Kluyveromyces lactis: one gene and its partner. The protein of the gene in region 2 interacts with the protein of the main gene of each other region in a biochemical or structural test. Links are inferred from orthologs where the notes say so. Each region holds a gene or a part of one and is shown on either strand. Other genes may lie near its edges. The genes, in order: PTP3 and FUS3.

Region 1 (4,529 bases), on a different chromosome or scaffold from region 2:
ATCAGTTGCTTTGTTGGTGTTTGACAGCACTTGATGTTGTATTTTGAGCAGCGAGATTGTTTGCATTCTATATCGCTTTCAAAACGATGGATTCAGACTTGCTGTAGCTCATTTACCTTTCCGTCTATAAATTTGTGCAAAATGTCAAGGTGTGAGTTCTCGTCTGTCATAGACTGCCAGTTATTACGCTTTTCAGGGTCTGTTGGTGAAGTCTCCAAATTCAATGTAAAATAGAATAATAGACAATCATAAATGAAGAGAAATTGGTTGATATTTTGAACCATAGAAATACGCTGTCTTCTGAACTGGTTTACGGTTGTCACGATTGGATCAAACATGAGACTTGTTGGTGGTTTCGTAGCAGAAAAAGAATTAGATTTTGTAGTTGGAGAAAGATTAGGAGTTAACGGTACGGCGAAGGCGCCATACAAAGAAGGATTCTCATCGGTATCAAACTTCTTTAGGTTTGATAATATGGAATCAACAGTGCACAAAGTACCTGTTCGACCACATCCAGCAGAACAATGAACGAGCACAGTCGGTGTGTAATTAGGAGAGTACACGTTATGTGCGAACAGACTATCAATGACAAAATTCTTCAAATTGATTATTTGCAGAATTTCGTTTGGTTTGAGCAATGTCCCTAAGTCTGGCCAGTCTTTTATCTGTAATTGCAATAGTTGGAACTTACTTCTATCATTATTATAGCTCAGTTCAATTCTTCGAATGATGATCTCATTGTTATTGTCTGAAGTTTTGTTTAATTTAAGATGTCTCCAAAACTTAGATGCAAACATATCTTCCTCATGGTTAGATTCTGCCTTCATTGGTTTATCTTGTAACATAGTACTAAATTCATCCAGAAGTTTGACGTTTATACCATCATAGTTACCGTTTGCCCAAAAGTTGCAACACTTCTCAACTCCATTTTCAAACTCATCAGTTAGCGTTAGAATTATGGGCACATTGTTGTTCAGAATGCAGGTGTAGAAGTCCGAAATTGTCTCTTTCAAAGGAGCTTGGGTGGCAATATAACGTACAGACTTGATGTCAGCGGTAGAGCTTTGCTGAAGTTGGGCAAAAGGATTAACCAAATAGTTAGCATTAATATAGGTATTCCAAACATCCTCTTGTTCATCTTGAGTTGGCAAGCCACTAGCACAGGAACTATATGCGGAAGATCTCGGGGAAGGGGTTGAATTCTCACAGCCAGCACTGCATATACTAGAATGCGAGAGCTTTACTCTTGTGTGCTCATAAGGAAATATATCCTTATATCTATTCTTCGTCCCAAATTCTACCCCAGATGATATTGTGATGCTTTGTAAGTTCTCTTCAGCATCATCCTCATCAACATCATAATGACCATCTTCGACACATCTGTCGTTACCAGCTACAGTAGACCGAGATTGAGTGCTGACAATTGAAGCGGACGATGAGGGGCCCAATAATCTCTGAAGTCTTTTTCTTTCTAATAACTCCAATCTTTGGAACTTAGATATAAAGTGCAGTTTTGGAATGTCCATTAATTGGCAGAACCAGGAAGGAACTACCTGATTGATCTCCTCTGAAGCAAATCTGTGGTATAGGTTATCATATTTAACTTGGAAATTTAGTTTAGATGAATTGTGGCCACTAGAAGGATCTGCTGGCGATAATGCTGTTTGAGTTGAAGTAAATGATGACGAAGTCGCATCGGTACTGAACTGTTTGGACGGTGAAGCAGGAAATTTGAAGGATCTTAGGTCATTTTCTGATTCTAAGAAAGAATTTCTTTGAGAGCGTTCATTGATCTCTACGGCCTTCACATAATTATCTAGATCGGAAATGTCATGCTCAATCTGCGGTAACTTAAAAGTTGGTAAATGTTGATTATTTATCGGTGCCGGCAGTTTAAATCCAAACAAAGATGATAATGGTGATGATGTGGATATTGGGGAACCAGATAGAGTCCTACTGTTACCGGTTTGTGGTGGCTGTTTCAAAGGAGAACAAGAATGCGAATGAGATCTACCAGAGTGTTTCAACTGCGGTTGAACTGGAGAAATATTGTCTGCCTGATGAGGGGAAGATGGGGAATCTAAGGTATAAGAGTCTTCCAAATCCATGGTACCAACTTCGACGTCATCAGGATATGCTGCATTAAATGATTCAAAACCTTCTGCGAGAATGAAAACAGAAGGCTTTTGTTTGTCACTTACATGATCGAGGATCTTAGAAGATATTCCGAAACATGCCAATGATACTGCATAATCTGTCTGGTTTGCCACATTATCGTAAATAACCACCTTGGCATTTGCAGTGGCGCTGTCACTGCCCAATAAATATTCCGATAAAGTTTCCCTTCCTGGGGAAGGTAGATTACCTATCAACCTTTCCAGATTGAAGTTTTTCCTTTTCAGTAAAGTCGAGGGAAGACACAAGTGCATTGCCGATCTGATGTGATTTTTGTTGAACTCTATGAACGGCCTTGTATCGAATATTATCAGTTTTTCATTGGGATTCTGGTCCATATTTTCAATATAATGGTGCAAGTCCGCAGGGCTAATAAACGAGCAGTCTTTATGTTTAGGAAATCGGAGATCTTTTGGACATATTGTTGGAATAGCGGGCAAGCTATTGGACTTCATTGCTATGCTCCGCGATCTACTCCGTGAAAACGAAAGGGAACTTCTATGAGATGCTGACAACGGTGAAGGTGTACATGTACTATACGAAGGTTCAGATGCTGAAGGGAAAGTCGACGCATGTATCAGAATCTTTTCGGGCAGTACCTCCGTTGAATTTCTTTTGTAATTTGCGCTCAGGGCAGGAGATGCTAACGATGAATTCGACGATTTATCATCGATCAAAGTGGATGACGAACTTAGAACTGATGAACTTTCCGATGTGAATGAGCTGCTCTGAATTGAATCACGATCTTTATACTCTGTACATCCAGATATCGATGGTGGTCTAGCGAGAGGCCTTGAAAACGAAAGAGGTTCTTTGAGTTGGATTTCTTCCTGTTGTTTGTTGGTGCCCATCGTGTCTATATACTCCATTTCTCTTCGAAATTATAAATAGATTAGATTTGACACCCTATTACTAACAAAGTACTTTCTTTCTGTATGCTTAATTTGACAGTTTTGTCTTGGTATAGGTTCTTATTTGGTGTCTTCGTTAAAGCAGTGATTCGAACAAAGTTAAAAGATAGCTGAAGATGTTGGAAGCTGTTCTATTTGGTTCAATAATGCACTAGACCTAGAAATTACGAATTAGAAAACACTTGACCGAAAAGAAAAGAAATTCTAAAAAAGATATTGAGAAGAGGATTGCATAAGGATACACAGATGCATGCATTCGAGAAACATATCCAATGGAAAAAAAAACAACAACAACAACAATTAGCACGCACATCCACGTGATATACGGTCGAATTACATAAATGCATATGTGATATAGTAATGCCCACTTCGTTGGTTGAACCAGACACCTTGCTACTTAATTAGATTACTTTTCATCTGTAGGAAATTACCTGAAAAGACACCTTATGTAGGCAGAAAGGTACTGAAAACAAAGGACTCAGAAAAATATGCGATAAATCTTCTAAACTATTTACACCCTCATGCCGATTGCAATTTTACCAAGCAATACTCATCTCTTGTTGAATAAGAACCGCAAATTGTCAAGACATGTTACAAGGATATCACGGATGAAGAAGCAGTTTCTATGGTTAATTACGACACTCTGTTGCTTTGTGAAATGTATGAACAAAAAAAAAGACACAAATCTAGAAATCAACAGTAGAGCCGAAAGAACGGTATAATAAGGACCGAAAAATATGCTAATAGTCAAAAGATCTAGATCCCCTGGGTACTAGTCTGAGAGTATGTTCTTGGACTTGTACTCTTCAACTTGTGAAAAGTAGTTTAATAGAAGAATTGCAGATGGCTGCATAACACACCACAGCAAAATCCTGGGAATAAATTTCAATCATGAGCATAATCATAGATGGGGCTCTTTTGCGCAGTAAATTACGTCGTTACAATTATTTGCAACTGGCTTTTTTTTCTTTCTTAGAACTGACAATGAATGTTGTCCTCCGTGCTCTTGCAAAAACGAACACGAATTTTCTCGGGAAAACCAAGGCGTTGATCATTGTTCCGGTTCGAGACTACGGTCGAAACGGACATTACCTCTCTGCCCTAAACACACTCTGATCAGTAAACGTTCATTTGTCAAATAGTAATGCGAGAGTTACCATGGGACTAAGGCTCGAAAAATTTCGTACTTTTGATCCAGAATGTTAGCACGGAAAGCAGTGACCAAAACGGTTCGAAAGTTCGCTTCCCTCACAAAAGAAAAGAATTTTCAATAGAAATGGACTCGGGTCTCGAACATCTTTCTGCAAGCTGAAACGAAGAAATTAACGTAGTGAAATAACTCGGAAACTAAAGGCTACCACTACTCACAAAACGAAAAGCGAAAATTACGTACGCCTAGAAGTCAACGCACTGTATCTGTACCAGGGTCCGCCCTTAGAACTG
Region 2 (3,202 bases):
TGTGTTCCAAGGGATATTTGTTCAAACTTATCAGTGCTATCATCTTCCAATCTCCAGAGATTTGCGGCAGAATTTTCATTGAACCGATCTGATAATGTCAAGATAAATAGATGATTATCGGAAATGAACGTTGATGCTGGAGACAAATCCTGTAATTGTTCGGCAAACGGACTCAAACTCTTAAAATTAACATCGGTGATATACAACTTACTGGAAACATCTCCGAAAGGGGATAGTACGGTACTCTCCTGACAGATTACCTTGTCTTTTAATTTGTACAGTTTTGATTTTGATGATTTCTGTACGAATGAACAAAACATGTTTAAAGGGTTTGAATCATCATTACTTTTAGAACCAGAGCTGGCCAATTTGAAATTGTTACCATCTTTGGAATAAAACGAAATCTGCCTTAAGGTAAATTTACCATCCAGTTTACCTAGTTCATAGATATTGATAATTCTTGCATTCTTATTTGTGGGATGTGACTCGATTTCAACGTTGATAATCGGTTTACGATTTTCATCGCCGACGTTCGAATAATCAGAGAAGTCTATCTTATGATTATCTGCGTCTAGGAAAGTTAACTGTTTCCAAGATTTCCCTTTATCACCGGTAGCTAAAACGCCGTTTTCACCACTCAAATATGCAACATCTGCTTTATAAATCCGATCTAGTACCAAGTGATTCCATTCCTGAGGTTTGTTATCAGACGAAAGGGGCAATCCCACCGAATCCCAAGTAACACCATTATCCTCACTTCTATAAAGCTCAACACCACGAAGAAGTTTAAGAACTACTCTCGAATCATCAAATCCGAGGATAGACAAGCGGCCATGCGTGTCTACATCCGAATGGAACGATACCTTGGGTTTAAAATCCTGAGCCAAAACGGGCAGAAAGTTCCAAAGCCCCAGCCAAATAAGGATATTCCACCAAAACATGAGACAAAGACGTTAAAAGTACTGCAAGCAATGTAAAAGGGTTTCGTTTATATCGGTAATTGAGTATATACATGAAACACAAGCTAACTACCGCTAAGACCAAAATTACAACGAACTGTTGAACAATGGTTCAAAAGACAATCTGTACGATATATTCTATTTTTTCCTCCTAGCAATTTTGATAATACCAATTCTGAGCATTTGAAAGTTGGTAAAAGGGAAGAAGGAAAAAAAAGGACGCGTCACGTGAATGTGAACATAATTAAGAACCTTAATTTTTCCCTAAACTGTTGCAGCTTGTTTCACATTATCTCTGAAGAAATTAGTCTCGTTTCAAGATGAAACGGCCGTACTTAAGGGAATATGGGGAATGTCGCGTTCATGAATTACAAACAATTAAAGTGAAAACTTCGATGGTTTGAGGTTTTGAGGCGATTTAGTGAGAAACAAGAAGACTTAAGATATTACATATATATATATCATACCTAAAAGTGGGTAAATATGGATAAATTCTCAGGCAAGAAGGGGTGGACAAATTTTTGCTCTGGTTTTATTCATCCAGAGAACCAGAGATAGATAGTGTGACAATGGGCAAGAGGATAGTATTTAACATAAGCTCTGAGTTTCAACTACAGTCGCTTCTCGGTGAGGGTGCTTACGGAGTGGTATGTTCAGCGAAGCACAAACCCAGTGGAGAAATAGTTGCTATCAAAAAGATCGAACCTTTTGAGAAACCCCTATTTTCTATTAGAACATTAAGAGAGATCAAGATATTGAAGCATTTCCAACACGAAAACATAATCAGCATATTTGACGTGCAAAAACCATCATCTTTCGAACAGTTTAACGAGGTGTACATAATTCAAGAGTTGATGCAGACGGACTTGCATAGAGTGATCGTGACGCAGGAACTAAGTGAGGATCATGTGCAGTATTTTGTATACCAAACTTTAAGGGCGCTTAAAGTGCTGCATGGAAGTAATGTGATCCATCGAGATTTAAAACCAAGTAATTTGTTGTTAAACAGCAACTGCGATTTGAAAATCTGTGATTTTGGTTTGGCAAGAATTGTATCTGAAAGAGCAACAGATGGCGATGCCCATGTTGACGCTGATGACACGGATGATAACTCCCCTTCATCGGCGGCTAATGACGGTGACCCGGCAATTTCGGGAATGACAGAGTATGTGGCAACCCGATGGTACCGAGCACCGGAAGTAATGTTAACAGCTGCACAGTACTCCAAGTCCATGGACGTATGGTCATGCGGATGCATTCTTGCCGAGCTCTTGGGGAAACAACCGTTGTTCCCCGGGAAAGATTACAGAGATCAGTTGATCCTGATATTTCAGACTTTAGGGACACCCACGGAACAAGAATTGGTGGAGCTAGTAGAAAATAGACGTGCACGTGAGTACATTCGCTCGTTACCTAAGCATCCCAAGATCAATTGGCGGCGTAGGTTCCCGAATGCATCTGCAGCCGCTCTTGATCTCCTTGACCGGATGCTGCAATTCGATCCGAGGCTACGGATCACTGCCACGGAAGCGCTATCACATCCATACTTGGTCTCGTACCATGACCCGGACGACGAGCCCGAAGGAACTCCGATTCCTTCGTCATTCTTTCAATTTGACCAATGGAAGTCGCGGCTAAATACAAAGGATTTGAAGCGGCTGTTATGGAACGAAATCGTGTCATGAGACACACCATCCAAAAACAAACGAATGACTAAGTAACCACTAGCGTATTATATCATTTTCTTGTGTAGAGGTCTCCAAAATGAACAAAGAACACCATCAGATAAACATAATGCGGTTTTGTGCTTTGGAAAGGAAAAAAAGAAATTGAGACGAAAAGATCCCATTTCGGAGCCGCCGTTCTGCGATTATCTTAAATGCGATTTTTTCTTGTTTGTTTTAGGGGCCCCCTCGTTGCAGGGAAGGTCAAACCAAGAAAAACAAATTACACGCACTAGGAAATCTGTGAACGAAAATGCAAAAAATCCATTGATCCGGACTTTAACACGCATGACTCTTTCCTTCACTATGGTATGCTCTTCAGTCATACATTGCCACATGCAGTAATTCTTACGACCCGATACGATTCCTTCCCCTCTCTATCCTTGCAAACTTAGTAAACTGAGTAAGCTGCACCATTAATGTTTCGGGATGTCCGAGCTATTGTGTGATTCGAGTAGCGCACAGCAGTTAGACGCGATTTTTTTTTTCTAACGCGCTGCATTACTTCGCTTAGTATAT

What was found.
Region 1: of the proteins of FUS3 (region 2) and PTP3, one has a biochemical effect on the other in vitro, tested with the Saccharomyces cerevisiae proteins (2 studies listed by BioGRID, with this or other methods). The link is inferred for Kluyveromyces lactis from reciprocal best matches to the Saccharomyces cerevisiae genes FUS3 and PTP3.

What each region holds. Positions count from the first base shown.
Region 1 is NC_006039.1:675,230-679,758, reverse strand, and holds PTP3 (tyrosine protein phosphatase PTP3), read right to left. Parts: upstream 3,045-4,529; coding exon 93-3,044; downstream 1-92. UniProt on the Saccharomyces cerevisiae protein: Major phosphatase responsible for tyrosine dephosphorylation of MAP kinases FUS3 and HOG1 to inactivate their activity; it also has important roles, along with MSG5, in the inactivation of FUS3 following pheromone stimulation.
Region 2 is NC_006041.1:928,461-931,662, forward strand, and holds FUS3 (mitogen-activated serine/threonine-protein kinase FUS3), read left to right. Parts: upstream 1-1,528; coding exon 1,529-2,644; downstream 2,645-3,202. Other genes in the region: PEP1 (type I sorting receptor), read right to left, coding at 1-941. UniProt on the Saccharomyces cerevisiae protein: Together with closely related KSS1, FUS3 is the final kinase in the signal transduction cascade regulating activation/repression of the mating and filamentation pathways, induced by pheromone and nitrogen/carbon limitation, respectively.